Linked DNA regions of Solanum lycopersicum. The protein of the gene in region 2 interacts with the protein of the main gene of each other region in a pairwise test. Links are inferred from orthologs where the notes say so. Each region holds a gene or a part of one and is shown on either strand. Other genes may lie near its edges.

Region 1 (10,130 bases), on a different chromosome or scaffold from region 2:
ATATTCTATCTAACATATATATACTTGATAAGATGTGCTTTAAGTGTATTAAAAACTTGAACCAAAAGAGTCTAGTATGAACACTTCACCATGGTTCCGTTTATATGTTCAACTGAAACAAATCATATTCCAACTTCTGATTTTGAAAGCTTTCAGTTAGTATCTGTCATCTTAGATATTGCTTGTGATGATAGAGAGTCGTGCTTCAAATTTCAGATTACTTATATTTTTCATGTAAACTCATCATTTCCACTCAACTGAAATGTTTTTTTTTTCTTTTTTTGGTGTTTCTGGCTAAACACTTTACTAATGCATGTTCAACAACAATAAGGACTAGCTGAAGTTGCAAATGATGTTGGATTTCTGTCCAAAACATAGAAGAGTCTCTCTTGTTCTAGTGTAACACAACTTACTATAAGAACTGCTCGTTCGAGTACCCGAATATCTTCTGATGCATTGATAAGATACACACACAAACACGCACACACAAGACCAAACAGGGAATGTTAACAACTCAACTTACAGCTTTCAGCTGAACAGACACAACTGCCAAGCAGAACAATGAAAATGTTCAAACTAGAAATCTTATAGAATAATGACAATGTTCCCATAACAAAAATATGAGATGAAGCTGCTTAAACCACATGTACATCCGTCAAACAGAGTTTGAAACTATGATATCCACAAAAATCTAATTAGTTCCAGGACTTCAGATAATCGTTATTGCCATCAAAATGTAAGTAGCAGAAAAGAGAAGGAAAAACAAAAGGCACAAGTGTGAGCTTGACAGAGGACTGCAACCTCTTTCTAACACTTATTTGGCCTTATGAAAAACTTCTATACTATACAGCAGAGACACATATATGGTATAATAGGTAAATGGGGATGCCCGACAGATGAGGATGAAAATCCAGACGAACCACCTGATCAATTAGAGATATAGACACAAAGATGGCTGATCAGGTCAGGACTATGAGAGAAAGAGTAGATGAATGCTGTACTAAATGTGCTGAGCCAAATGTCTGTATTAGCCACTTGCTTCTCCGCCTTGTTGCTATCGTAACTCCACATAAATGATCACCTGTAAGCAAGTTAAACAAGCCAAAGGATAAGACATTTCCTGGAAATTTCAAGGTGGTCGTCTTGAGCCTAAGGCCTTAAAAATGGAAATATGCACCATATTTGTATACAGATGTGTCTGCAGTTAGTTTAAAGGAAGCACAATTCATATTTGCTTGCGTTTGTTTAAATCAGACTTTTCATGTAGGACTTCTCACTGGCCTAAAATTTTATGCAATTTGCAATGCTTTTTCACCAGCTAACCATGACATACAGGAAATATGAAGGACATGAGAAATGTTATCCGTGAATCTGTGACTAGTGCCATTCATGAGTAGTCATGTTTGTTTGTGCTAGATGCAACACTAATGCTTATATTCAAACTGGAATGTTCAAATTTGTCCATTTCCTAGTTTTCATCTCTTTTGGATGAATGTCTTCTTCTACTGATTATTCAAGAAACTCACGTAGCTTACCCTGTTTGAGAAAGCCGCTGCCAGTTCATTAGCTGGTGAGATTGTGGATGCCTTTGCAAGTAAGATGAACTGGTCCCAATACCATTATCATCACCAACATATTGGTCCGAATAGTTACTACTTGAGGGAGACCATGTAGGCACTACACCCCCATCCCTTTCTCTAGTACTACTGGAAGATTCTGCTGTTGAATCTTCAGAATTCCTCCTACCTACCGCAAAATTAAAATGTGGGGTAGCATTGGTTCGAGCAGTTTGCATGACGGCTTGGTCACGCGTGTCTCTCCTATGAACTTCAGCTACATTGATGTCTGTTGGAACTTCTGCCCTACTTTCCACAACTGAATTCCTAATGTCCACGGAGTTCTCTTCATCTTCAGCTCTGAACAAAGATGACGTCATGCTTGGCACCATTTGATCTTCATAGCGTCGAACAGTAACTATTACAGGGTTGTTCCTGACTGGTTCATGGTCCATTTCCATATGCATGGCCTGAGGAAATGCTATTGGGGAGTCAGCAGAGTCACCATGTCCTTCTTCCATACCATTCTCAATCGCAGCTCTTGCAGCTGCATCATTCTGCCACATTTGTGATAGGGCTTGTTCTAGTCTAACTTTTGCTGAATCAATTTCAACTATAGGAAGAGGATAATTGGAACCCAGCTCAATGCCAGCAGCTTCAAGCACAGATTCTGGTGCATTCCATGGATGGTGTATCCATTCGGTGGGCAGCCTAGCAAGTTCAGGAAGCCACCGCCGGACATATTCCCCATGAGGGTCACACTTGTATCCCACAAACTGCCAGAAAGAGAACAGGTTCAAATAACTATTCAGCCTTTACCAAGAAAATTCACATGAAGAAACAAGAACAGAAACGGAAAAAGGGATATATATAGCAAAATCTGCAGCCTCACTTTTGTTTTACATGAAAAAACAAGAGAAACAGAAGGAAGGGTTTCTTGTATTGAAAAGACTCGCATATCAATTTAATACCAAAAGAAGCTCACAGTCACTGTACTAATAAGTAATATCTCAGGATATAAAAGAAGCAGAATTTGCAATTAGGCATTCACACACACATTCCATCTTAAGCTTTAGCACTTTCTGTAAGAAGATTGAGGCCCATGAGATGTTCATGCAATGTCTACTAGCAAGTCAGTGCCTGGAAACTAACTTACAATCTGAAAATAACACTTACCGCAACATGGAAGGCTATAACCATTCGAAGTGTAGAATAGTCGTAAAGTTATTAAAAAAAATTACGGTAGTAGTCTATAATTGGTGTTCCAGCAACTCTACTATGTTAGAGAAATAGAAGAAAAGGAATTTCAACTATGAAGTTATGAAAAATTCCAATTGAAAGAAGAGATTCTCATCAAAGATTACCCTAACATACCTGTGGATTATCAATCCGATCAAGCTCACGACCATCAGGTAGGGTACCAGAGATATATTGCCAACCAAGAGCATCACTCTCAAGATCTGCATCTAACAATGTGTCCCAAAAATACTTCATCCCCCACCTCCATGGAAGCTGCAGAACCTTCACAAAGAAACTAGATACCACGACTCGGATACGATCATGAAGCCAACCAGTTGCCCATAACTCTCTCATACCAGCATCAACCAAAGGATAACCTGTTCTACCTTGTCTCCATGCCTTAAAGTAGCCTTCATCCACTACCCATGGGAAGTACCTTAGGTGACCAAGAAGGGGCCTTTCATGGCTATAAGGATGATTAAAACTCATGTATCTTGAGTACTCCCTCAGCCCAATGGACTTAAGGAACAAATTAACACTCTCTTCACCAGCTTTATTTCCTTCATTGGCCCAGAGAACTTGCTTGATGCGAACAAAATGGAATACCTTACGAACACTGACTTCCCCAAAATGTAAATGTGGAGATAGAAAGGATGTTGTTGCACTATCAGCTTTCCGACGGTTCTGCGAGTACTCAAGTAATGGTCCATTAACGAAAGTAGTTAGTGCTTTATCAGCATTACTCCAGCCAGGTGACCATGCCCGAGCAAGAAGTGCATTGCTTCCTTTCTCTGATTCATCTTCAAATACCAAGTTGTCTGAAGGGCATCTTGATGCATCACCTGAAAGTTTGCACATGAATCCATGTAAAAACTAAATTAAAATCTAAACCAGTGCTCCTATAAGTACATTAACACCATCCTAGGAATTTGTTTTAGCCCTTAGCTTGTTAGTGACAGCTCAAACATCTAAATGTTCATTATCACCTTTCCACTTTTGAAGGACTTGAATACCTGCAACATTCACATTATACACCATGTAGTGATCTCCGAGCTTAAAGTGTAGCAACACGTTCATTACGGTGCAATGACATTATTTTTATCTGACAATTAATATATCTATTACCTGGAGGGAGATCTCCTAATTTGTGTGCATCATTGGTGGAACGTAACACTAAGCCAAGCACGACAACAACATACCCAGTATAATCCTACAAGCGGCGGTAGAATATACGCGGATATTACCCCTACATTGTGGAGGTAGAGAGGTTGTTTCTGAAAGACCCTTCATGCCCTACTAACCTTCTACCCTAAGCACCTTATGTTACAAAAATATGTACAAAAAATAATAGAAATTTATCCAGAAAGCCAACAAGATATGGAGAAGCTCAGATGAGAACAAACCAGATATAATCCTTTTGGGAGGAAGAAGTGGAGCTTCTGGATCATAAGGCATGCTAAGGCATTTCTCCCAAAAAGCAGAAAATGTTGTGAACGGGCGACCTTCATCGTCATTAACTTCCCATGGTTCATAGAGCAAATCAGCATTAAAGGAACGCACTGATATACCTTGAGCTGTTAAGATTTCTTTTGTGCGATGATCTCTCACAAGTGAAATAGGATCTAAAGCCAAAGAAGTCAAAGGTGTTGGTCAGGATAAGGTAGTGGATGAAATTGGCTGAGCAAAACTATGCATCTTATAAATCCTTGTACTGTAAAGAGATGCTTAAAATAAAAGCCATGCATATCTATTAGCAATTATCCATTCAACCATGATCAGATCAAATGTCAAGCAACACCCTTTCTGCTTCTATTAATCAAATAATAAGGATATGGAATATGTTTAGTACAACAAATCCAGATTACTGTAGTTCTAATTCAGGCACTAAACAAATTAGTAGCCAGAGAATGCTACAAGCACTGAGGATTGAGCATAGCAAAAAGTATTGCACTTAAAATTCTTTAGTTATATGAGGAAGACACATGCTAATAATTTATTATGTTTACCAGAAGACAACTCAATATCTTATTCTTAAAAGGACATATAGGAAGCACCAATCCCAATTAAGCCATCCCAACAATATAGTACTAATAACTTTTGAAACAACATTAAGAATAATCAAATCAAACAAAATGATTACAAAGGAAAGCCAAAAAAAGGAAGTAAAACAGTGGTGCTCTATCTTTTATTTAAAGAAGCAAGAAAACCACAGAAAAAAATGGAAACAAGTACTAACCATACAAATGATTGAAGAAGAGCTGAGTAGCACCAGTAGATTTAACAACTTCAAGAAGAGAAGAAATACTATCAGTAGATCTCTTTGTAATAAGGGAGGTTCCAAGACTCTTCAAAGATGAATCAAGATGAGCCAAACTCTGCTTAAGCCACCATCTTGAAACTCTACCAGGATAATAATGCCCTTCTTCTTCAGGAGCATAAATAAACACAGCAATAACTGCCCCTGCTCTAACTCCAGCAGCCAAAGCAGGGTTATCTTCCACTCTCAGATCCCTTCTAAACCATACTATGCTACAACCACCACCTGACATCTTCCTTCAACAACACCAAAGACTAGTCTTTTTCTCTCTATTTTTCTCTCTTACTATGTAAACACCATGTTATTGAGTCTTTCTTAGACAGAAGTATATTGGGGTTAATCTTATCTATACTTTGACTGTTCCCTGTAGCTTTCACTGAGGAGATAAAGATTACAAAGATGATTTTTTTTAGGCAAATTCTAGTAAAGAACCTAACTTTAACAAACCCCAAATGTTATTCTTTGATGAATGATGAGATGCTATTCTTGTGAAGTTACTATAGGCATTGTCCACCCAAAAAAACAAACCTCTCCAGAGAAAGAGGGAGGAGAAAGTGAGATTGAGGGTGATTGGTTATGGTGGTGGGGTAACATGAGAACTTATGGGAGATTTGCATCCACAACTTTATGTTTTTTCAAGATTTTATTTTTATATCTTTCTTTCTTTCTTATCCTAAGAAGGAAACAAAATTCCACCAAGCCTCTATCTCTAGTGCCTTCTCTAATCCCCTCTCTCTCTCTCTTTGATGACAGGGTGGAAAATTCTTGTTAAATTCAACATTAGCTTTCTTAGGTATAATAAAGTCAAAAAATTAAATGTTTGATTTTCTTGAATCATTGCAAATTGAATGTGATTTGAGTAGCTCATGTTTTTTATTACACAATGTGACATCAAGAAATGAAATGACACTATTAAAGTGCACTAAAATATTTTACCATCTTTCAAAAATAACACTATTTAAGTTTATCGAACCAAAAATATTCTTTATTTGTTAGAGAAAATCGACGGTTTAATAAAGGTCTATGTTTGTTAACATATATACACTTTTGCCTAATGATATATCAAAGTTTTGCCAGCTTTTATACAGGTAAAAGGGGGCAAAGTTTGATTCACTTAACCTTTTTTGGTAGAATCTGATTCTAGACAACAAATTTTGTTACCCCCATTATAATATATAGTGTTTGGACAATTTTATAATATTATTTTAATTTAGTTTTTCCGACCAAGTTGGGATTGTGTAAGAGAAAAATGGGAAGTTGGAAGGGGACATGAAGCATGGGTAAGAGAAGGGATAGAGTATAGAGTGGTGACTAATTTGGATTTGGTATTTTTCTAAAGGGTGTGTGGGCCTTTTTCATGAATGGAGGTATTAGATTCTCATTCATTCATCTGTGTTGCTATTTAAAGTCACTTGTAATGTAGGCACCCCCACCACCCCTAACTTTACTCATATTTTCACATGCTCTTGTATGCTCCTCTTATGGTTAATTTTCAGTAAGAGGGTAGGTGAGATGAGAAGAGAGTTCCTCAGAAATCAAACTCTCGCCAACTAAATGAGATCTTTATTAGAGTTCGATTATGATAAATTCAAGTAGCATATGGTCTATTTAGGGTGTAAGAGAGGGGGAAGCGCTTCGTAGCGGGCAGTAGCGTAGCCACTCTTATGTCAAGGTGTCAATTGGACACTCTTATCGGAAAAATATACTGTATATATAAATAAAATGATAAACAAAGTGACTAAATAACATATTTTGGATATCCTTGACACAACATCATGATGTAGCCTAGTAATTTTAGATGTCTTAAAAGAGTAAAGGCTCGTGAGCTTAAAAAGTGATTATTCGTTCGAATCTAACTAATAGCAACTTTTTTTTTACTTTAGCACCTAGACACCCTTCGTGAAATTTCTTATTCCACCACCGACAGCGAAATGGTACTCCTATATAGAAGGTTACTTACCACTAGTATAATTGAAATTAAAAGGGCACATATATTTACTGCTGCAAACCTATTTAAATGTGCAAATTACATGACACTAGGGGACAGGAGTACATGTCACTTTCTCTTGAGCAAATTATGTTGTTACCTACTTCTATCATAAATCGTGCCGTTTGATTGAAAATTAGTTATTTCAAAATAATTTTTTTGGGATTAGTTATTTTGGGATAATTTATTATATCACTATATGATAAATGATGGGATAAGTTACCCCAAAAATATTAATCAAACAAGATATTTAAATTTTATTTCATAACTTTTTTTATCCCAAAACTATTTATGCTTATCTCTCGTACCAAACGAGCGATATACGTAAGTACTGGGAGTTAATTCTCATTGCTGTAAAGAGAGGTGCAACAATAGCAATGTTTTCTTTTGTTTACTACTCCTAAAGAATGTTAAGAATACAACTCTATACGTGTAAGTTTTCTTTTGGTTTGCGTACTAAATTATTGTGGAATTATAGTCTTTCTATTGATTTTTTCCACCTAAAAAATGGAATAAAATAACATCAAGTTTGATGAGGACTATAATCTTTGGATATTAATTTATTACAGTTTAGAAATGGGATAAAATAATATCAAAGTTCGATGAGATAAAATAGGATATTCAAGACTAAGAATTTGTTTGGATTGGTTTAAAAAGGTAACTTTTTGAAAGTGCGGAAAATTATTTTAAAAATAAATAGTTATGTGTTTGAATAATTGCAGTTGAAAAAAAGTTTTTGATGTGTAAGACAAATAAGTGTTGTTAAAAACTTTTTTTTATTCAAAACATATGCAATGCCCTTAAAACTGTTAACATAATAAAAAGTTGATTAATCTAAGAAATAAAAGAAAAATTAAAATAAAATTATTTTATATTTTAATTCAATTTCAATAACTTAATACTTAAGTTAATTTTAAATGTGCAATTTATTTTAAATCTCAAAAAATATATAGTAATTTGAATACATCACACGAAAGAATTTGAGAATTGCTTAAAAGAAATAAGGGTAAAAAAGTAATCTACTTGGTCAAAGTAGAATGATTTTTAAGTTGAAAAAAAGTAGGGGTCACCCTAATTTTAAGTTCAAACTTATTTTAGGTTGTTCTTACTCTCACAAGTTAAAAACTGACAACTTAATAGCCCATCCAAACAGACAGTAAGTTTGAGATAAAATTTAATTATATTTTGTTTGATCAGATAAGTTCAAGGTCGAGGTTAGGATTCTGGTCTTGGGTTGGGTCAAGGTCGGGAGTCTGATAATGAATTTTTATCAGGGTCATGATTCATATTGGATCGGGGGGTCGGGAATTGAGGTTGGACTTAGGAGTAGCTAGGGTCTCAAATTAGAGTCAATATATAATCAGATCCTAATATTGAGGTGGGGTTCGGGGTTTGATCTTGGGCCGAGTCAAGGTTATGATATTAGGGTCAAGATCGATTTTACGGTTAGGATTGGGAGTATTGTTCCTAATTGGAGTCATGGTCAAATTTTGGATCTTGAATCGGGGTTGGAAGTCTAATCTCTTGTATGGGTTAAGGTTAGAAGGAGGGACCTAGGTTGGATCTCGAGTTAGGGTTGGAGTCAGGAGTAGAGTCTCAGGTTGAGGTCAGGAGCCAAGTCACGAGATATTCAGGTTTTGGTTTGATTTAGGGTTGGGGACATGTCGGAGGGTCCCAATATCATGATCGTAAATTAGATCTTAAGTTAGACTTTGGAGTCTTTTTCCAAATCGTGATCATGAGTTAGGTCCTGAAAAGGGGTTGAGGGGTTCGAGTCAAGGTTTGGAGTCTTTTTCCAAATCGAGATCATGAGTCAGGTCTTGGAAAAGAGGGTGAGGAGTTCAATCATGTGTATGGTTGGGGGCGATAGTTGAGTCCTATGTTGGGATCATGTATCAAGTCGGATCCCTAATCAAGAGTTGAAATTCAAATTAAGGTTAGGAATCGGGTCCCGAGTTGAGGTCGGATAGTAATGTTGGAAGAAAAATGTTTTCCATACTTTTTATAAAAAGTCATTCTCATTAAATTGAAAGAAATTTAGTGAACTTGAAAAACATTTAAACCAATCAAACACGACAAAATTAAAAAATAACTTTTTTCACACAGAGTACACACTAAGTTTAAAATGACACTAATTAACACTTAAAATTATCATTATAAAATTTAAAACTTGCAAAAATGAAAATCCTTACTCTGCCTAATAGCCTATAATATCCTAATAGCAATAAGTGATCAGAATGTGATTTGCACTAATAATGAGTCAATTTCCTAAATATTAGGTATATGAGAAATTGCAAATTAGTGATAGTTGAGTGATATTTTGATTTTAAATGAAACATAAATGATATTTTAAGACAATTCTTTTAACTTGAACGACCATTTAGGAATTGACTCGACTAATAATTAAGGTGGTTCTTTTTGTGAGTTGACATGTACGTATGGAACTGTCTCCCAGTCCCTATTAGGCTATTACCATATATGTAAGTGCTATTAATAATTTTTCCATCTTTGAGGCAAACCAGTGATGTGAGTGTGACACTCACTCATACCAGACTTCTTCAAAAAAGAGCCAGCACATATGCTTTGTTTACATATTTTAGTCACATTTTTATTAGCAATGGAAAACTAAAAATAATAGGTGTATGAGAAATTGCAAATTGTGATGATATATGGAATGAGAAGATAAAAAAAAATATACAATAAGAGTTACATGAGAAATTGCAAATTATATATGATGATATATGGAGTGAGAAGATAAATAAATATAATATTTTAGTTTTAATCGAAAAAGATGTAAAAATATTTTTAAACTACGTAGAATAGAAGACTTTATTCTTTGTTATCATTTGATATTATTTTTTATTCTAATCGTCAAAATATTGGACATTTGCTCCCATTCACAGTCAGATCAACTTCAACTTCATATAGTATAATTTTTGTATCAAAATCAAGCTATATTTGTGGATTCTTAAAGTGTGTGTTATTTTCTTTTTTAGCCCCGTCCAATTTTTCGTGGCATATACTTTTGTCA
Region 2 (10,321 bases):
ATCTCAACAAAACGTATGTTGATGACCATAACACTCATATCTGCATCATAATAAGATTCATGTCGAATGACATTAGTATATTGAATGTATGAGTATGTAAGAAAAAATAAATGTATAAATAACTGAACTGATAAGATTGAAAAAATATTCACCGCAACTCAACTCCAATACAAAAGAAATCATAAGAGATGGAATGTTTAGAACTTCATAAAAATACAATGTATTAACTCAAGAGTGTATAAAAAGTACAATAAATTACTCTGTACTCTTATTTGTGAGATTCTCTAACGAACAACTATTACTATGAGTTAATCATGACACAACGTCTCACCCACGCTTCCAAAATTGTCCTATACCTTGTTGGAGTATAGAACACCTCAACTAAGTGGATCCACTTAGTTATAAGGATTCATTATAAAGTATGATATTTTACCAATGTTATCATACATGGTTTATGAGGATTTTGACTTTTGAGTTGTCTGAACTCATCCTCATATTATTGTTCAATACTACTCCCAGTAATATACATACTCATGCTCAATTTTGTAAAACATACTCTTTCTCTAGTTTGAGATAGTTGCTCAAACTCTCTTCTTTAAAGAGGATACCACTCTAAAATATCTTGAAACTCATAAAATCATTTAGAAATCAAAGTTTTTCTTTTCTCAAAATAATACTCTCTTACTTCATGTAAAATTTAAACAATTGAGAATACTTAGTTACCCTATACTCTTTCTCAAACTCCTCTTTACTTTCTTAAAAACTCAGCTTAAACTATAAAAATTGACTTTAAAAGATTGTCAAAATTTCTAACTCGAAATAGTGTTCATGCTAATTAATATAGACATGAACGAATCAACTCAAAGATCTCAACAACAAAATGGAAAACCAATAGTCGAAATAAAATTTAAAAAACAATCAGGAAATCTAGAACTCAAAATCAACTCATCTTTGCTTTCTCAGAAATTAGGTTAAGATTATTATTGTGTAAAAGATTCTAAATAAAAGCTCTCAAACTTCTCTCTTAAACTCACTCTAGTTTTGAATATATATTAAGATATGTGATTAAGATATGCAAGAATTTTTTCACAGGTAAATGAAGCCTATAGAGCTAATACAAAGAAGGAAAACGTGGACCCAACTTAGAGGAACACGTATGGATGAAATAAGGAAAGATTGATCCAAAAATCCTTGGCATATTGTTGGCGCAATGTGCTAGACCCTTAAATTCAGAAGTCAGGCCTTGGCACTGCTAGCGCATCTCCCCAGGCTTGAACTTCATAAATCAGGCCTTTGCACACTACTGGTGCGTCGCCCCAGGGCTTGAACATCAAAAGTGAGGCCTTGATGCAATGCTGACACGTTGCCCCATGGTTTAAACTTCAGAAGTTCAGCCTTAACACTATCATGGCCCAGGCCCTTCCCTAGTACCCCGACAAATTGTCAAGCTTAAATTAGGACCCCGACTTAGTTTAGAATTGAAAAAATTCTCCTATACTCTTCTTGATTCTCAAACCCAACACGGACATGAAAAGTTTCATATGATCCCTTTAGAAACATAAATTTATCAAATCAATAGGCTTAATGTGATACTAAGCATGAACAATACAATAATATTCACAAAATAGAAGAATAAAAAAGTCTCAATTATTGAATAATCGAACTCAATATAAAAATTGCGAATAGATTCTTTTGATGTGACAATTTCTTGACTAAATTGAGATGTAGCGTGAGGGCTAACAAGTCCAACACTTTGAGACGCCTTACATACCTATAAAGAACAATGGTTCTGTCAACGGGACTTTTTTGGCCAAAATCGTTGCACCTGTAGCGATATTCTTTAAAAAAAATAGTGTAGTGATTTTACTCTTTTGGTTAAAAAAATATTAATGTACCCTTTTGGAATTTTTATCAAATTTTTTTTGCCCTTTAGGCTTCGGACTCAACAATCTTCTCACATTGAACTTGCATTTATGCTTCATATGACTTAGAAGACAAACCAACATTGTTATTTTGAGCCATTTGTTGGTCAACTTGGTTGGTAAATATATTTGATTAAAAATAATGAATTTGGTGAATATAAATGGTAAAATATAAATTGATTTGAAATAATAATAAATTTTATGTTAGTGAAAATACTCATTATTTGAGATATAAATGATTTTAAAAGTAATGATATGCATTACACATTTTATTTACATATGCAATAAATGGTTAGCAGATATATATATCGGGTTGTTTATATAAAATATAAACTCATGGTCAATTTTGGTATTTCGAAAATCTCAAATCATGATTTGAAATTTCAAAATCATGATTTTAAAGGCCCATTTGGTCATACCATATAAATTCATGATTTGAAATCATTATATGAAATTATGAGATGAAGTTGAAATTTTGTTAGGACATACAATTTTGACTTTTTATGTTTTATGTTTTCTCATAAATATAAAAACTCCGTAAATAGTAAAAGTATAAAAAATTATCCCCAATTATTTATATAATCTTACCAAATAAACAAAACTTATAAAATCGCGTAATACATTATTACAAAATTATTCTTAAAGAAGAACAATATTTATTTATTAAACCTTAATTCAACAAAAAATAAAATTGAACATAAATTATAGTGTTCAAATTGTTAGTAGCTAAGAAAATTTTTTTTACAATTAATCCCAGCATGGTTAGTCTTATCCACTCAATATAATGGTGATTATTTGTTATTATTAAACATTGATTTGAATGAAGTAGTAATAAATTTGATTAAAAAATAATGATTTGGGGAACATAAACGTTAAATTAAGAATTGTTTTGAAGAATAAATTTGTATTGACGAGAATAATTTGTATATGAGATATAAAAGGTTTAAAAAATAATGATATGAATTAGAAATTTTGTTTACAGATGAAACAAATGGGTATAAAATAAATGTGAGTTATTTTTACAAAATAAAAACTCGCGAATTAATATTTTTATTTAAAATTCCTAAAAATTATGACTTTTAAGAAATTAGAGATTTCATTTTACTAAATCATAAAATAAAATCAGCATAAAATTACGTGTCCGAAAACACTGCCATGTGATGAAAACACATGGCTAAAGCGCCCCAAACGCCTACCAAGTTTTGCGGGTAATTGTAATTTAAAACTATTTTTATGGATATATGGTAGTTTAGTTTGTGTTTGGGATTTTTTTTGGGTATCTATAATAAATTTATAAAATAATCGTGAAAAATAAAAAATAAGTTTAACTATCAGAATAATAAAATGCAAATTATTTTCTGAATATAAAAGTTTAAAAAAATACGAACTCGCAATCTTCGTATTGAAAGTGAGGATTACTTATCATCAGAACAACTCCATTTTGTCAACAAAAAAAAATACGTATTAAAAGTAAAATATACCACTAGATGAACAATTTTTTTTTAAAATAAAAAAATAACATATTTTTTTTTATTTCGTTAGAGGATAAAGGTATATAAGCACAGAGAAGTAAATGAATCACTTTCATAAGAGGTTTTGTTTTTTCTTTTTTTTCAAATTTTATAAATTAATGGCCAAACAGCCCTTTAACAAAGCACAATTCCGGCGAAAACAATATCTGAATTGCTCCACTTTTCACAGACATCATTTGGCGAAAACAATTTTTTTTTTCCAAGTGGGGTGACTGACTGATTCATAAATCATCATATCTATAGAGTAAATTAATGCACAAATAATTGCACAGTTGGGGTGTTGAACAAATGAAAAGTATTGTTTTTTTTTTCAGAATCTTGAATAGTGATGAGTGAGCTAGACAGATTCTTGGAGAGACTACCCTTTTTTCCCCATTTCAGTTTCAGGTTAGTCTTTTGATTTCTTTATGTGTCTGTGATTTAAGATTTGGTAAAAAAAATTGAACTTTTTTTAGTTTGTTTTTAAGTCTTGGATTTCTTTGTTTGGTTATAGTGTTTTCACCTTATTGAGTTTGTTTTTCCCAAACTGTGATTATATCATAATTGCGTTATTCTTGATTTTGGTTTCATGCTGAAATGAAAATCTATGATTACTTTTATCCCTTTTATCAATTATGTTTGTTAGGTTGTGGTTATGAAATAGCCTCCTAGGTAAGGGTAACTTGCCTACATCCTACGCGATCTCCAGACCCCACAAACTGTCACGATCCAATGTTCTCGGGTCATGATGGCACCTACTACACTGCACCAGTAAGTAAGCTTAACCCTTAGCCCGAAGCGATAAGCAATGGACTAGGCGACTAGCAAGTGGAAGCCAACAACAAGAAGTAAGAGCTTAGAACAAAGTAGAGAAAGGATAATCAACAAAAACAATACAGGAACCATCCCAAGTCCTGCCATCAGTTAGTTGAGCATCTAATCCAAAATAGGAGTACAAGGCTTTCACAAATACAAGACAAGTACAGACTAATCTCTGAATACAATATAAAGACTAAGCCTAGCAAAACATATGGAAACCGGTAGCTCTAGACGCCAGGAGCTCACCCTAATCTCTGAAACTCCGAGCTGCTCCGCACGACTCTAAATCAACGGCGATAACTCAACTGCAATCTATAGGGGGCAGAAGTGTAGTATGAGTACCCTGAATGTGTTGTGGATTTACTTTTAATACATGAGCATTCATAGAAAGTCTAAGTAATCGAAGCTAGGATAGTTCTTTATTATGAACATATGATATTTTTCTCTCTCTTCTTTGGTAGTGCTATTATTGATATGTTCAATACTGTATTTACTTTGCATATTTGTTATTTATATGCTTTACTTGAGCCGAAGGTCTATTAGAAACAATCTCCCTATCTTCAGAATATAGGAGTAAGGTTGTGTACACCCCACCCTCCGCTAGACACCACTTGTCGGATCACATTGAGTATTTTGTTGTAAATCTTAGTTCTGGAAGACGTGCTTCGACCAACTTGACTAGGTGAAGGAGGAAAGATTTTGAGAGATTTTTTTACTCCCTTCTTCCTTAGTACCTCGAAATTCCACATGCTTAGTATAAAAAAACGAAGTTAAAGACGTAGAAATCTGTCTAACTACAAAGTACTTTGTTTTATTTCAGCTAGTCCTTCAAGGGGTAAACATAGGTGAATGCAGCTGGTTATTTAATTGAAAGAGTCCTTTGGAATGATATGGACAAGTCAAAGGAGGAAGCAGATGCAAATGATGTAGGTGCGAATGTGCTATCTAGAACGAGGGAGTGTGATTCTGGTGAACCATCAATGGGGAAGTGTACATCTACCAGTCATGAGTTGCCAGAGGGATCAACTTCTGCCAGTTCAGGGATGTTGGAGAGTGATGGAATGAACAGAAATGTAACGTCCATGAAGGGGCCTCAGCTCCACGGTACAAGCTCTTACTCATTGAATAGTTCAAGGCTCACTCTTGAAAAGTTGTGTAGTTACAAAATTTCTGAGCCAGCTTCTCTTAGATGCTCCAATAGTCAAAAAACCATTCAGAAACCACAAATTCAGTGGCAACGTTTCTATCAATTGGGGTCTGGCTCTAGAAGTTTGAAGGGAGATGGAGATCCTTCATCCACGGACAAGGCTGTTCAGCAATTAAGTTCCAAGGAGTTGCCAAGAATAAATTTACTTGCGCTGAAAATGCTGAAGCAAGCATCCGACAAAGATATCAAAGGAGGCTCTAATGCAGAGTCTTCCCAATCAACAGAAGACCATAACCTAATTATTCCAAGAAATAGATTACTTCCGGGAAGTAGTCAATCAAAACTTTTATCCACTTCTAGCTTTTCTCATTTTTTTGCTAACCGATCTCTTAAAACCAAAGATGTTTTACCAAAAGGACCTGCACTTCATAAAGAAGTTCATATTGCCTCTACTCTGCAGAATAAGAATGACTTCGAGCAAGCCTCCACAGGAATGGTATCATCTGATGTTTTTTTAAAGCAAGGTGCTAATTCTAATCAAGCATCTTTCAGTCGTAGCGATCACCAAAGACCCACTTCAACTTACAATGGATTTACCTTGAGAGAGTGGTTAAACTCGACGGGATCACAGATAAACAAAGCTGAGAGGATTCACATATTCCGGCAGATTGTGAAGTTAATTGATATTGCTCACTCTGAAGGAAATGCATTCCAGGATATACGGCCTTCCTGTTTCATTTTACTGTCACCTAATGGTGTTAAATATATTGGTTCATCTGTCCAGATAGACTCCATGTATGCTGTGAGCCGGAATACTAATGGGAAAAGGCCATCCGACATGGAAATGCATGCTAATAGTAACTTGGGTATAAAGCTACAGAAGGTCAATGTGGACGTGGGCTTGATTAGACAGCAGCCTGAAAGCAATGCTCGTTCTTGTTCTCGTGATGAAGGCACATCATTTCAGGCAGGGTGTCTACTGGAGTCTGATATTAATCAATTAGAAAAGAAGTGGTACACTTGTCCTGAAGAACTCCATCACGAAAGCCTAGCATCGTCTAATATCTACAGTCTCGGGGTTCTTTTCTTTGAGGTGGGTAATCAATTGCTGGGTTCATAATCATTTTACTTTAAACCACTGACAAATTCTCTTCCTTTTTCCTTCTGCTCATTTGTCTCTCCTCTTAGACACGAACTTAGGTTCAGTTTGCACCAGTCCGATCCATATTAAGCAAGAGTCACAATATAATATTAATCACATTTAAATAGATGGTGGACAATGAGGAGGGAATGAAACACTAGATATTTTGAAGATATGGAAAATACAATCCAACAAATCAAGTTTTATTGTATACTTTTGTTCTGTTTTTGGTATACGGAGGAGTTTTAAATGATGCAAAATCAATTCTTAGATGTTGAATTTATGTTGAAGCAGATTTTAAGATGATCTCAAATGTTGGTGTAACTAAAATAAACACATTCACTGTTGTTTAGAAAGAAAGGAACTGATGTTTTGAAAGATAAAAGCCAACTCATTCCAACAGATCAAGTTTAACTTTGAACTTCTATTTTCTTTTTAGTCTAAGAAGAATTTTTAAATGAAGCAGAATCCATATTTAGCCTCTTAAAATTTCTATAAGATTGGTAAGTGATTTTTCTTTTGCTTTGTGCTCACCTATACACACTTCGGCACCGACTAAGTGCTGCTTGTGTAATACAATTACCTTCCTCACCAAAAAGAAGAAGATACATACATCCCAAACAAAAGAAGAAAGAGAACACCAAAAAAAGAAGGGAAGTTTTTCTGATGAATCACATACTCTGTCTCCCTGTAGCACTTCCCTGATTTTGCTTCTTGAGCTTTTAAGAAACTGAATTAAAATCAATATAATTAAGATTTATTGAATCATATGCTTTTATGAAACTTTTGCTGACCCACTCGACTGGATCTTCGTACTAGATTCCAGTCTGGATATGCTTGTCTTTTTTAAATAGATTTTGAAATTTATCCCTCAGATGCTCCATTGCTCTCTCAGATTGTTGAATATGGAGAAGGCAGGTGAGGGAACCTCCCAAATCTTTTCCAAGGAGCCTGTTGTTCTTCTCTAGAATTTGATGAACAGTCATTAATGCAATGAATCGGTGTTGCATATGCTCAATTCTTTTAGCATTGAGTATATATCTTGATTTCAGCTGCACCCCTTATCTGTTCTCCTTTGTGGCTTCTTTTGTTAATTTTCAATATTTCTTATTTTAACTCTGGGGAAATAATTGTAGCTGTACACAATCTGGCTAAGTTAATGATTTTTTCGTTGTGATTCTATTATATTGGGTGTGGGAACTGATGTTTTGTTTCACAATGCACTTTGCCAAAGGGCTGAGATAAATTATCTTTACTCTTACTAATTCATGTTGTTTCTTTTAGTTGCTCTGCTGTTTCGAATCACCTGCAGCACATTCCACAGCCATGTTGAATTTGCAAAGTCGCATTCTCCCTCCAAATTTCCTTTGTCAAAATCCCAAGGAAGTTGGCTTTTGCTTTTTGCTGCTTCATCCTGTGCCTTCTTCTCGTCCAACAACAAGGTATTGTTATGTTTCCAATTTGTTGTGCAATATTATTTTCTGCTATTTGGGGCTTTTCTGAAAAAGTCAATGTTGACATACCTGTAAGACAGCCAGCAATACGGTATCCTAAAATAGGGTATATGGAAAACATTCTGATGCTCTGAGTGAATGCAATGCATTTTAAGTTGTTGGCAATCACAGAGTCCTCGTAGTTTGATATTGTTGTAACTATTATGCTATTTTCCGTTTCGGGTTAGAAACTGGTTGTGTTCGAGAGTGACTTCTCGATAATAAATAGAGATGGTGGAGTTCTTTGGGGCTTGAGGCATCTTAGCCACTTCTCTTGTCACCTTGTTACATGCTCCCTATGTTCCAGTTTATGTGACCCTGTGTCCTTCCTAGTCTATTAAAAAAAGAATGACCTCTATCTAAATATGCAAACAATTTAACTTAAATTTCTCATTTTAGCCTTAGTGACACAATTTTATATTCACACAAATGTTATGGCATGTTTAAGAACACAAGTTTCTAAAGTCTTATAACCAAACAAATGTTATGACCCAAAGTTTCAAAAGTCATCCCTTTTTTTCCGTGCCCTTCACATAAATTGAAACAAAGGGAGTAGGAGATATCACGCCCCACTAGGTTAGAGCTGGTACTCTAATAACATCATTTTAGCATGGAATGAGTTTGATGTTATTCGTATAATGTGTTCATAATCTCAAGTTGTGTACTGTCTAATCCTGCTGTCATCTCTATGGGAACTTGCATATGCAGTAAATGCACCTTGCTCCCTGCCAAGCTTTAAGATTTAGTATAACCATTTTTGGGTCTTAAGTGGGATAGCTTTTAGACATGGAAGAGTTGCATTTCTTTGATGGTGGAACTAAATAGCAAACTGTCCGCCACTCATCAGAATTGAGGGAAAAGACATTTTCTGAAATTGGTTATTGTTCTTTAATAGTTAGTATGACTTCCAGCCTGCAATTTGTCCTTTTGATCAATAGATATTTCACTTTTGTGCTGTAAACCTTCTAGCTTTGTCGTACTGAGTTTTAACTTCTCTAATTGCTAGAAGCTCAGGCACAGTAAATTTGTAAATATCCTCAAGTTAATTTGTTTGATGTGTAATCACATTCACAATACAACTTATCTTTGTAGGGAAATCCTACAGTCTGAATTAATTATTGGAGCTGAAGAAGTATGTAAAATAGATGGTGTCCCATCATTCATTGAGAAGGATGATGACCCTGATTCAGACGTCTTGCTCTATTTCCTAGTTTCACTGCAGGAGGAAAAACAGAATGATACCTCCAAGTTATTACAAAGAATAGAGTGCCTAGAGGCTGATATCAAGGATGTTGAGAAAAGGGAGGTCCTTAGACATTCAGATTGGGTGGAAACTGACTTCAATAATATGCGGCAAGGATCCTACTTAAAACATCTCAATTCCGCTGACTCTATTTCTAGATCGTTTTCAATTCCAAATATGCGCAATGAAAAGCTGATGAAGAATATTTCTCAGCTTGAAAGTGCATACTTCTGCATGAGGTCCCAAATCCAACTTGCAGAAAATGATACAATAGGTCGAACAGACACGGATTTGTTGACGAGTCGTGACAGATTGTTCCAGGTTTCAGCAAAAGAGGCAGAGCCAATTTTAAAATCTGTTGATCGTGTTGGAGCCTTCTTTGAAGGTATTTGTAAATATGCTCGCTACTGCAAGTTTGAGGAATATGGGACATTAAGAAATGGTGATCTTCTCAACTCTATAAACGTGATCTGCTCCCTCTGTTTTGATTATGAAGAGGACTATATAGCTGCAGCTGGTGTCTCAAAGAAAATTAAAATCTTTGAATTTGCTTCACTTTTGAATGAATCTGCGGATCTTCAATATCCTGTGGCTGAGATGTCAAACATATCTAAGCTTAGCTGTGTTTCGTGGAATAAATATATGAGAAACTATCTGGCTTCAACTGACTATGATGGCGTAGTCAAGGTGTGTACTTGTTTGGCTTAACTTGGTAAAGAGTTTTGAATCTTCATGAGCTATGGCAATATTTTTATGTCTTTCCCATTATCTGACTAGCCTATAAATACTCTAGGCATTATCTTCCATACGAGAATGTAAGAGAATAATCTCCTAGCTAGTAAGTGCTTTAAATATCACAATAAAGGTTATATCAGCTACCTAACACGTGCTTGCTGTTGAAGTTGAGTATTTCATTCATCTTGTTGACTAGGTCTTGGTGTATAATTTTTGAATCTAGATGTGGGATGCAAGCACAGGTCAAGAATTTTCACAACATACAGAGCACCAGAAGAGGGCTTGGTCTGTTGATTTTTCTCAAGTGAAT
Region 3 (10,390 bases), on a different chromosome or scaffold from region 2:
GTGAGTAACTATTTAAACTTTGGATATACAAGTAAACATTTAAATTTGTACAAAATTTTCTTCTGTATTATGTCATTTAATTTTATACAAGTTTGTCTATTATGCACATTTAAAATTGAACGATATAATTATTCGTTTGAAACTAAATTAAACGTTAATATTTATGTATGTTTATGTATTAGGCCAATAAAAGAATGTTGTAATCTAGAAAAAGGCTAGAAGAATGATAAGAGCGGTGATACTTACGAAGGACTTGTTCAGCTGAGAATCTTCTAGAAACATCTTTACATAGCATTCTCCGTAGCAAATCCTTTGCCGCCGGTGACACAGACCGGAAAGTCCTCGTCGGAAACCTAAGGTTCGCTCTGAGAACAGCCTCGAATATCTCCTCTGTCGAGTCACCGTAAAATGGCGGCATTCCGGCCAACATTATATACAGAATCACACCAGCACTCCAAATATCTACCTTCTCATTGTAATCTCTTCCAGCTAAAACCTCCGGCGCCACGTAATACGGCGTCCCTACCACTCCGCTCATCAGCTCGCCTTCACGGAAACACTGAGCCGAGCCAAAATCAGCTAATTTCAGATCGTTCCATTCGTTAAACAGAATGTTCTCCGGCTTGATATCCCGGTGCGCTACGCCAAGCCGGTGACAATGCGCTATTGCCTCCATCAATGGAACCTAAAACAAACAGTTGATCCAAAAATTATCAATTTGCTATAATCATCAATTAGACAAATTAGTACTACATTTTAGAAATATTAGTAAAAATCATTTAATTTGAATCTACAAAAACACAAATGCACTAAAATTCACAGATCATTTTCCCCTACTGAAAGAGTACGAGTACCATGACTGCAATGGCATCAGACTCGGACAACAGTCGTTGAGTAGAGAGTCGTTGGAAGAGATCTGAGGAGTTGCAGAGCTCGAGAACGATATCGAGGTACGTATCGTCTTCACAGACATCGGCGATACTAACGATGTGAGGATTAGGGGAAACCAAATGCATGATCTTAGCTTCGTTGTAGAGGCATTGACGGTCGATTGAGTCATCGGCGATGAGAAGCTTGTTGATAGATTTCACGGCGAAATTCTGGCCGGTTTCCGGCGAGTAACACTTGAAAACGACGCCGAATCGTCCTCTCCCTATTTCCTCACACACACGATAATCTCGCCTCAGTTCCTCGCTCATAACGTTTTCTGTCTTCATCGTTTGCGTAAACACTCAAATTTCTGTTTCTGATGGACTTATATAGTACCCCAGTACTGAGAGTGGAATATTCTTTTGGAATCTTTTCTGACCAATCAAAATTAGCCATCTGCCTTTTTTTTTTATATACTTTTTTCCATTATTATTTGTACACATAATGAATAGCAAATATTTCATAATTTTTCCTAGTTTATTAATATTGAGTTGTTAATCTTTTTAAGAAAATGAATTGAATAGATATATTTAGAATTCCATTACTTCCTCCGTTCGAAATTGTTTGTCATATTGCGCTTATCAAAAGTCAATTTGATTAATTTTCAAAGGTAAATTAGATCATATTGATTCGATATTTTAAACAAAAAAAATTAAATGTTCTAAAACTATATGAAAATTACTGTAAATTACAATTTTTTGCATATTAATATGATGAAAAAATACATCTTAAAATGTTAGTCGAAGTTTTTATAGTTTGACTCTAAAAATAAAAATCATGACAAACAATATAGGACGGAGGGAGTAATTAATAGAGATAAAATAGTAAATTCGTTATATCAATAATATTATTTTCTTGATAAATGTGTTAAGTCAAAATTTGACCAGTTTTACTATAACTAAGAAGAGTATATAATTATTTCTTAAATAGTGTGTAACGTCCAAAACAAGTAAAAGTGAGGAGAGAAAATAACAAATTCTCGAACAAAAGCATAAACATAGTACAATGTTTTTTATTTTTAATTTTCTTGAGAAATAAAAAACAATCAAATGAAACTTTTTAAAAGCAAAATACATGTAATTATTTCAAAATAAAAGCAAGTAATTGTAATAAGATAAAGGAAGTAATTGTAAGTAATAAACAAAGTACAATCACAAACCAAAAGTATTACTTCAAATTCTTCTTTGAATCATTAAGAAACAAAAATTATGGAATGCATAAAACAACTTTCTTTCCAAAATAAAGAAACAAAACATATTTGGAGAAAACAAGTCCATGTTAAGAACTATATTTGGGGTCTAAAATAGTTGTTAGGTTTTCGGTAGAGTAAATCGCTGTTGTTCCAGCGATTTTACCGTTTTGATTAATATAAAATTTTATATACCATTTTAGAATTTTTGTTAATATTTTGTACCATTTAGGCTCCGAATCCAACGATTTATACCCAAAATGTAGGATATGTTATCATTTTCTCAAAACTAGATGACCTATTTTCATCTTTTATTACTATGAAAATACAAGAAAAAGCAAATCATATTCAAGATTACATATGCATGGTCTATATATGTAACTAAACAAAGCAGAGATTAAACCATGAATCTGAGCTGCTTCACGATGAGTTCTATCGCGTACTATGTTAAACAAACTACAAACCTTGCTACGATTAAGAAAAAGTTATATATACACGAAGAAATGTTCAACAGGATATCGTCATTCCACTGCATATGTTGATTCAACTATCAGATGTTTGGAGATGGTGAGGGAATCATCGCGTTGTAGCTTCTGCAAATAGAGAAGAAGACAGGGTCCGGTCATGATGATTGAAACTGGAACAGAGACGAGACGAGTGATTGAAGTGAATTTTGAAAAAATGCAAGTATATTTATGTAGCTACGCTCTCCTGTTTTGAATGGAAACATAAATTAGACAACGAAAACTCAAGCTTAGGGTGTTTGCGTCTTACCATTTTTGCACGAGTTGATTTATGTGTCAATCTCTTCTTCCTTTTGTAGCTTCACATGTGATGATGCTTCGTCATCAAAGGATTTTCTGTCGTGAGACATGGTAATTGTTCGAGGTACAGAGAATGAGTTTCTGCTGACGGTCATCTGTTTTTTCATAGAAGAGGATTCTGCAGTAGAGCACAAGTCACCGTCCACGTTTGACATTTTGATCCTTTCGTTCTTGTAGCTAAGCTTGTTATCATTGAGCTTCTTTGTTTCCTCTTCGGGCTTTGGTCTCTTTCTATAAGTGCCTACATTTTGCATTGATGGCACCCTTTGATCATAAGATGAACTGCTCGGGCAAGGCTCCTTTCCCTTTACAACGTCGTCCTTTGGAATACTGGCTGAATCTCCAACATTTTCCGAGTTATCAAACACAACTTCAACAGTTCCATTTGCATGTGAAGTATTCACAGCTGCTTCTTTTTCTCTCATGATAATTATAGCTTGCATTAAACGATCCCTCGCAACATCTACATCAATTATGGGGTTCGGATAATTCATTCCGAGTTCCACCCCTGCAGCTTTGAGCACATTAAGTGGTGCATCCCAAGGATGATGGATCCACTCAGCCGGCATTCTTGCTAGCTCAGGTAGCCAATGTCTCACATATTCGCCCTCCGGATCATAATTGAATCCTTGAACCTGCATGAAGAGTTGATGAAACTTAAATAAGCTCGCGACTCATCAACTAAATGTCCCGAGAATACATCATGCTTTTTACTAGGTATGCAAGAGTTTTCTTTCTCCATATCGATAAAAGTCCTTCATAAATAGAGTCGAAAATGTCTAGTAGAAAAGTATGTTTTCTTAAGTTTGGCATGATTATGCAGTCTCTTGATAGAGGCGGATCCAGGATTTAAAGTTTATGAACAATTGAACATAGAGTTTAGTCAAAGCTATTGGATTCTGCTGAACTCGTAACTTCTATTGTGGTTGTGCCATAAAAATAATAGAAAAAACAAAGCCATGGCAAGAAACATCATCTACTATGACATTTACATCAGCAACATAACATACCTCTGGGTTATCGAGGCGCTCAAGTTCATGACCATCGGGCAAGCTACCAGAGATGTATTGCCAACCAATTATGTCACTTTCTAAATCCGCGTCCAAGAGTGTGTCCCAGAAGTATTTCATCCCCCATTGCCATGGCAGAAGTAAAAACTTGACAAAGAAACTTGACACAATCACTCTTATTTTATTATGAACCCATCCCGTTGCCCAAAGCTCCCTCATTCCTGCATCGACTAATGGATAACCAGTCCGTCCCTGTCGCCAAGCCTTAAAATGGGCTTGATCAGCATTCCAAGGGAAAAACCTCAGGTTGTTCAGTAACGACCTTTCATGAGTAAATGGGAAATTAAAACAGATATAACGAGAATACTCTCGCAGTCCAATAGCTCTAAGGTAAATAGTAGCACTGTCTTTTCCAACAGAGTTCCCTTCTTTGGTCCAAAGTATCTGCTTCAAGCGTACACTATTGAAAACTTTCCTCACACTTACTTCTCCAAAGTGGAGATAAGGAGACAAAAGGGATGTAGAATTTCCCCCGACTCTCAACCTATCCTTTGAGTACGCGAGTAGATTGCTCTCTACAAATTCGGTTAAGGCCTTGTCTGCATTGCTCCAACCTGGTGCCCATCCTTTCCCTAGTAATGCATTACTAGATTTTTCTGACTCGTTTTCCAGTCCCAACTCCTCAACTGAACACATTTTAACTGATCCTGTCAATGAGAGAAATGAAAATCATCAAGTTAATGTAAAACAAGAATGGGATCATTGGCGTAACTAGTAAAATTGTTGTCATTTGACCAGGAGGTTACGGGGTCTCAAACGTACCTGCAGCTTGAGTTAATCTCCAAGGAGGAAGTTGTGAAACAGGTTCGTTCTGTATACTTAATGACTTCTCCCAGTATGCATCAAAAGTTGTAAAAACTTTGCCATCATCATCGTAAACTTCCCATGGTTCATTCAGTAAGTCCCCGTTGTAGCTCTGAACAGATATGCCAAGATCCCCCAACTTTTGCTTGATATTGTGGTCACGAACAAGTGAAACAGGATCTAAATCAAACCCGAAAATTGATCATGTAAGTACTTCCTCAAAATCAGATACCGGGCACATGGAACTCAAATATTCAAGTACCATTTGGCCTACTAGGAATTCATTTTAGAAAGGTTCTATGAGTTATGCAATAAACTTCGAATGATCTTATGTTTGTTTGGTTGAAAATATACCAAGTGAACTCTATACAATTCTATTAAAACTAAACGGTGCAGCATGTGTTATAGCAAAGATAAGACGTATCACTATTGATACCAGAACATCAGATCAATACCGAATATCTATAGCCATATATACTTCAAATTTCACACAAACACACACATACATACGTATATGTTTGTATGAACATATAAGCGGTGTATTGACCCTCTATTTATAGTCTTCCATATTATATCACGCTACCAGACCTCCCTTGTGGGATTACATTAGGTGTGTTGTTGTATATTCTACCACGCTAACAAGAACAAGAAATAAAGCTAATTGGAGCTTGTTTATTAGGACAGTTAGATCCATAACATTAGCTGACAACACATATTAGCAATAACACGACACTTTCTCCAGAGATATAGAACAGTAACTCAAACAGTGAAGGCCAAAGGAAAGTTATTACAAACCATATAGATGATTATACACAACTTTTGTTGCTCCAACAGCATCGACACACTCCGTGAGAGCAGAAAGTGTACTCTGAGCTTTCATCAACACAAGTTCAGCCCCAAGAGATTTCAAAGACTGTTTCAAGTGAATCAGAGATTGCTTCAGCCACCATCTTGAAACTCTACCGGGATAAAATTGCCCTTCTTCCTTCGGACACCAAATAAACACCGGTAAAACACTTCCATTTCTAGCAGCAGCAGCTAAAGCTGGATTATCCTCAATCCTCAAATCCCTCCTAAACCACACAATTGTCTTGTAATTGCTCTCCATTTCCAACTAGTCAGTTTCCACAGATCCCACAAAATGGACAAAACCAAACAACCCCCAACAAATACTTCACTTCAACTCTTCACTCCAAATCTCAAAATATGATAAAAATTCAATCTTTGCTCAAAACTTAGTCCAAATTCTCATCATATTCCCAAAAAAACTAGCATACTTAAGTTTAAAATCCTATCTTATCAAACCCCAACTAAAACCAACCAATACTAATACTCAAGAAACCAAGATTCTCACAAAGTTGGACAAATCCAAACAATCCCCAAGAAACAACTTCACTTCAGCTCACCCCAAAGCTCAAAACATCATAAAAATCCAATCTTTACTCAAAATTCAGTCCAACTTTTCATCATATCCCCAAGAAAACTAGCATACTTAGTTAAAAATCATATTTTGCCAAAAACCAAGATCAATTTCACAAAAAATTTTCAAACCCCAACAAATATCTTCACTCCAAATCTCATAACATCATAAAAATCCAATCTTTACTCAAAACTCACTCCAATTTCTCATCATATTCCCAAGAAAACCATCAAACTTAGTGAAAAATCATACTTTTTTAAAACCCCAAGTAAAGAAAACCACCACTAATACTCAAGAAATCAAAGATCAATCTCACCCATACCAATAATTCCACCAGAAAATGTCATAAGAGAACCAATAAGAGATTTACTACTGAAATTTAGTATCAAGATTGTGTTTAACCAAGATAGTATAGATCAGATAAGACAAAATCCAAGAACAACATTAGGGAACATCCCACATGGAGTATTAAAATCTTGTGAGATGCAAAAAAGGGAAAAAGATAGTAAGTAGTAAAAGATTAGACTTCATGTGATCAAGTGGAATGGCCTCAAAGACAAGAGTCCAAAGGCAGCAGCTCTTTAGAAGAATAATAATCCTAAAAAATGTAATCTGCAGGACCACCACAAGACCAATAACAGCAAAATGAAAAATAAAATAAAATATCATATGATTAATAGCTTAGTAAAATATTCAACTTTATACAAAACTTTTAAGATTTGATTTCATACTAATTATAGTATCTACCATCAAGATTTATGCCTACTTTTTTTTAGGAAGTCTTTGAAGTAATGGTAGAGTTATTTTCGTGTCACATAAATGTTACTGATTCGAATCATAAAAATATATACTATTGATTATAAAGATATATTATGTATATCACATCTTTTAAAGTATGGTATTCTCTAAATCCTAATAAAAGAATCTTAAAAAAGTTCTGTTTATTATATTCTCATGATTTTGCTCATGAGAAATTATACCTTAAACTCCTATGCATTTTTGCATACTACATGAGAATACATATTTGAGAGTACTACTTTGCATCTTTTTATGTTTGAAGGAATAATTTGAAGTTGTAGAAAATCAAATTTATGCAAAATTTGGTGTTTTACAAGTTTATTTAATTTATATCTAGATACAATTTGTGTTCAAATTCATATAGAAATAAGTTCATTTAAAAGTCAATTCTTTTGCTTTTCTACTATGACATTCTTTTTTTTAATATAATTATTGTCTTATGACATAAGTATTCTAAATGACAACATTGTGATGTGTACGTAAGTGCATGATTGAAAATATTTTCCATCCAATTTCATATCAGATGTGTTTCGAAGAATCTAGAGATAGATATGATACGATAAATAAATTTATTTTTAATTTTTAAAATATAATATTATTATAATATCAAATCAACTCAATGTTTTAAAATAATTTTTTGATATCTTACCATACGATAAATCAGTAATCACTAATCATATCAGGATCAACTTCGACTTTTTCATATAATTATATCACAGAAAATTATGATTTTATGATAATCTAAGTAGATAAGATTGAGCTATTTACACATGGGAAAATGAAAGTCAAATGCTAACATAATTTTCTTTTGGAAGTTAGCCCCTTAATTTATAATATTTTCACTAAAACCAAGTCCCTCTAATAATAGCAAAACAGTAGTTTTTTTATATTTAGAGAAAACAATACTGTTGCCATCATTACACAATTAATTTCCAGACATGTTGTACATAATCTTACCAATTTATTTTGCTTTATGTAGTTCAGATTTTTGCCTGTTGATTTTGTTACAATAATTGTTGTATGAGTGCCCTCCTTATATTTCTCTCGCAACAATATAACATATAGACCTTTTAAACTACGATTTAAAAATTTATGTTAACGACAATCTAATATCTTGATAAATAAAGCATAAACTAGTCAATTTATGGTGAATCTTCGCAGTACATGGCTTGTATAAGCGACCAAAAAACGCGCTGTAGGTTCAACTAAAGATCTATTTAACCATCTCCCAAACAGATAGACAGGAAAAGAACAACAGAAATTTATCAGTCAGATACTAATAACACATAATATTCATTGCGTAGACATAGAGAAGTTGATAACCATTCACATACAGAACACCATACTCGTTTCTCGACTAGGAAGCATCATGAGAATGAGCGAGCTCATAACCAGAAAACATGATATACTAACTATCATGAGTCGTCCGGTAATCAGCAACCCAAGCATCGAGTTATTTATGTCATAGTTAAGTAGATCGAGTCTTGTAAGACGCGATTACACAGAAATATTATGAATGGTTGTTTCATAGTAGGATGTTTGATCAATCAGTAAGCGCGTTCTTTGAGCACTTCAAGTTCTACTTCAGTAGGGTCAGTAGCTTGAATCTCATAGTGTATGCCTTGCAGCTCCCTCCTGAACCTGTCCTTAGATGTCGCATACAGCATCTTCGATCGGATTCGGGAAACAGATGGAGACCTGAAAAGGATGGATTAGAATATCACTTCTTTCATAATTAAACTAATCCGATGAAATGATTTCCCAAAGTAAAAATTCAATGTTGTTCGAACTCTCCAAAAATGCACTACTTTTGAACAACATTTTCCTACTGAAGACATCCCTTCATTTCCGTCGTGTTTTCTTGTTATGTTTTAGTTTGTCTTGTCGAGGAGAAGAAGGGCCAAGGACTTTAATATGCAATAAGAAGATAAGAATTTATTATTTTAGATACAACACTGCTTCACGGATCTAAGAAGGGAGAAAATTTCATATTCTCGAAAGGATGTATTGCGAGTACACAACAGACGGGATATTAAAAGAACTAAAGTAGATAAATAAATAACTTCAAATGGAACTTGGTCTAACCCAAAACCAATATAGAACAATCCTTAGACACATGCCAAGACTCGAATGAAAATCCAAAATTAGCCAAAGAATTAGTCTCTTCTACTGACGGAAATATAATCACTCCGCAATCCCCATAACGCGAAGGATAATTTCCATAAATCTTCAGACCTTATCACAAGAACTTTTGTCACAAAATTATCATTAACTCAAAACACTGCCGTATAGTCTACCCAATACATGGGGAATTTCTTCATCCTCCTAAAACTTCTAAATATAATTATGCAGGGTCTTAAAGTTCACTGCAGAAAGAGTGATGCATACCTAACAAACCTCTAGAAAAAAATTTCTTACAATGATATGCTAGGCACAAAACAACACACTCTAGTTATAGGAAAAATGAATTCTTAAAGACCCTGAACCCAACTATTCTTCACCTCGATTTGTCTCGACTGCAAAGTATTCTCTAAAAAGATATGGTTACTCGTAGCATCAGCAATTCCTTTGCTGGTCAGTTTTCCACCTTTTCACAATATGTGCATGCAAGTTCTACTCATATGGCTATTCTCGCTTTCTCAGTACTATAACATTTTCTCAAGACATTGACGTTCACTTCACGAGTACCTCAGGTATCTGACCACAACAGCTGTCGACTTTACTTCACAAAAGTGTCCTTCTTGCAAACCTAAGCCACATACATAATAACACAAATGGTCTCCTGACCTCTTACTCTCTCTACGATTAACTCAATTGTTTCAGCCATCACAGACACTCCCTGAGAATGCTACCATAATAATTGCAATTGACATCGTCATTGGCTAGTTATATTCCATAAAGGAGAAAAACTATCCATCCACTATTCCACATTACTCGCATATCACTCACTCAATTGGTTTGACACTAAAGCTTGATACTTGTAAATCCGAATGTGCCTGCTCTATGAAATTCATTAATGTGGTGACTTGACAGCATTGTAAATAATTTAGAACCAACATTCATAAATGAGAGCAAAAATTCCCCCCGCACATATAGACTGAAGTTATGATAAAACAGCTAGCCAATACTCCTCCCGTGTTTTCTTTTGGAAAATGGAGTCCCTGTTCTAGACTGCTGAATAATGCAGCATCATTCACAGAGGACAGTTTAAGCATATGAAATCATAAAGAGTCTTAACTATCTAGAATATAAGGTGCACGCATCTCTTTGATAAAAATCCAGTTATGCAAGTTCAAGATGGAATTATAACTTACCAGGCAAAGAAGAAAATTTTGCTCTTTTGGCAGTTGTCAGA

What was found.
Region 1: the proteins of protein SUPPRESSOR OF PHYA-105 1-like (region 2) and CRY1A interact in a two-hybrid assay, tested with the Arabidopsis thaliana proteins (3 studies listed by BioGRID). The link is inferred for Solanum lycopersicum from reciprocal best matches to the Arabidopsis thaliana genes SPA1 and CRY1.
Region 3: the proteins of protein SUPPRESSOR OF PHYA-105 1-like (region 2) and CRY2 interact in a two-hybrid assay, tested with the Arabidopsis thaliana proteins (4 studies listed by BioGRID, with this or other methods). The link is inferred for Solanum lycopersicum from reciprocal best matches to the Arabidopsis thaliana genes SPA1 and CRY2.

The regions. Positions count from the first base shown.
Region 1 is NC_090803.1:61,978,580-61,988,709, reverse strand, and holds CRY1A (cryptochrome 1), read right to left. Parts: upstream 5,691-10,130; 5' UTR 5,345-5,690; coding exon 5,032-5,344; intron 4,418-5,031; coding exon 4,199-4,417; intron 3,638-4,198; coding exon 2,931-3,637; intron 2,333-2,930; coding exon 1,536-2,332; coding exon of another isoform or gene 1,532-1,535; intron 1,082-1,531; coding exon 1,078-1,081; 3' UTR 611-1,077; downstream 1-610.
Region 2 is NC_090809.1:4,264,784-4,275,104, forward strand, and holds the start of protein SUPPRESSOR OF PHYA-105 1-like, read left to right. Parts: upstream 1-3,506; 5' UTR 3,507-3,841; intron 3,842-5,072; 5' UTR 5,073-5,142; coding exon 5,143-6,492; intron 6,493-7,824; coding exon 7,825-7,982; intron 7,983-9,125; coding exon 9,126-9,963; intron 9,964-10,234; coding exon 10,235-10,321. UniProt on the Arabidopsis thaliana protein: Controls normal photoperiodic flowering and regulates circadian rhythms. Required for suppression of photomorphogenesis in dark-grown seedlings and for normal elongation growth of adult plants.
Region 3 is NC_090808.1:67,118,624-67,129,013, forward strand, and holds CRY2 (cryptochrome 2), read right to left. Parts: upstream 6,058-10,390; 5' UTR 5,926-6,057; coding exon 5,613-5,925; intron 4,998-5,612; coding exon 4,776-4,997; intron 4,661-4,775; coding exon 3,954-4,660; intron 3,579-3,953; coding exon 2,913-3,578; 3' UTR 2,894-2,912; intron 2,757-2,893; exon of another isoform or gene 2,713-2,756; 3' UTR 2,398-2,712; downstream 1-2,397. Other genes in the region: phosphoenolpyruvate carboxylase kinase 1, read right to left, coding at 247-685, 855-1,217; actin-depolymerizing factor, read right to left, coding at 8,583-8,733, 10,350-10,390.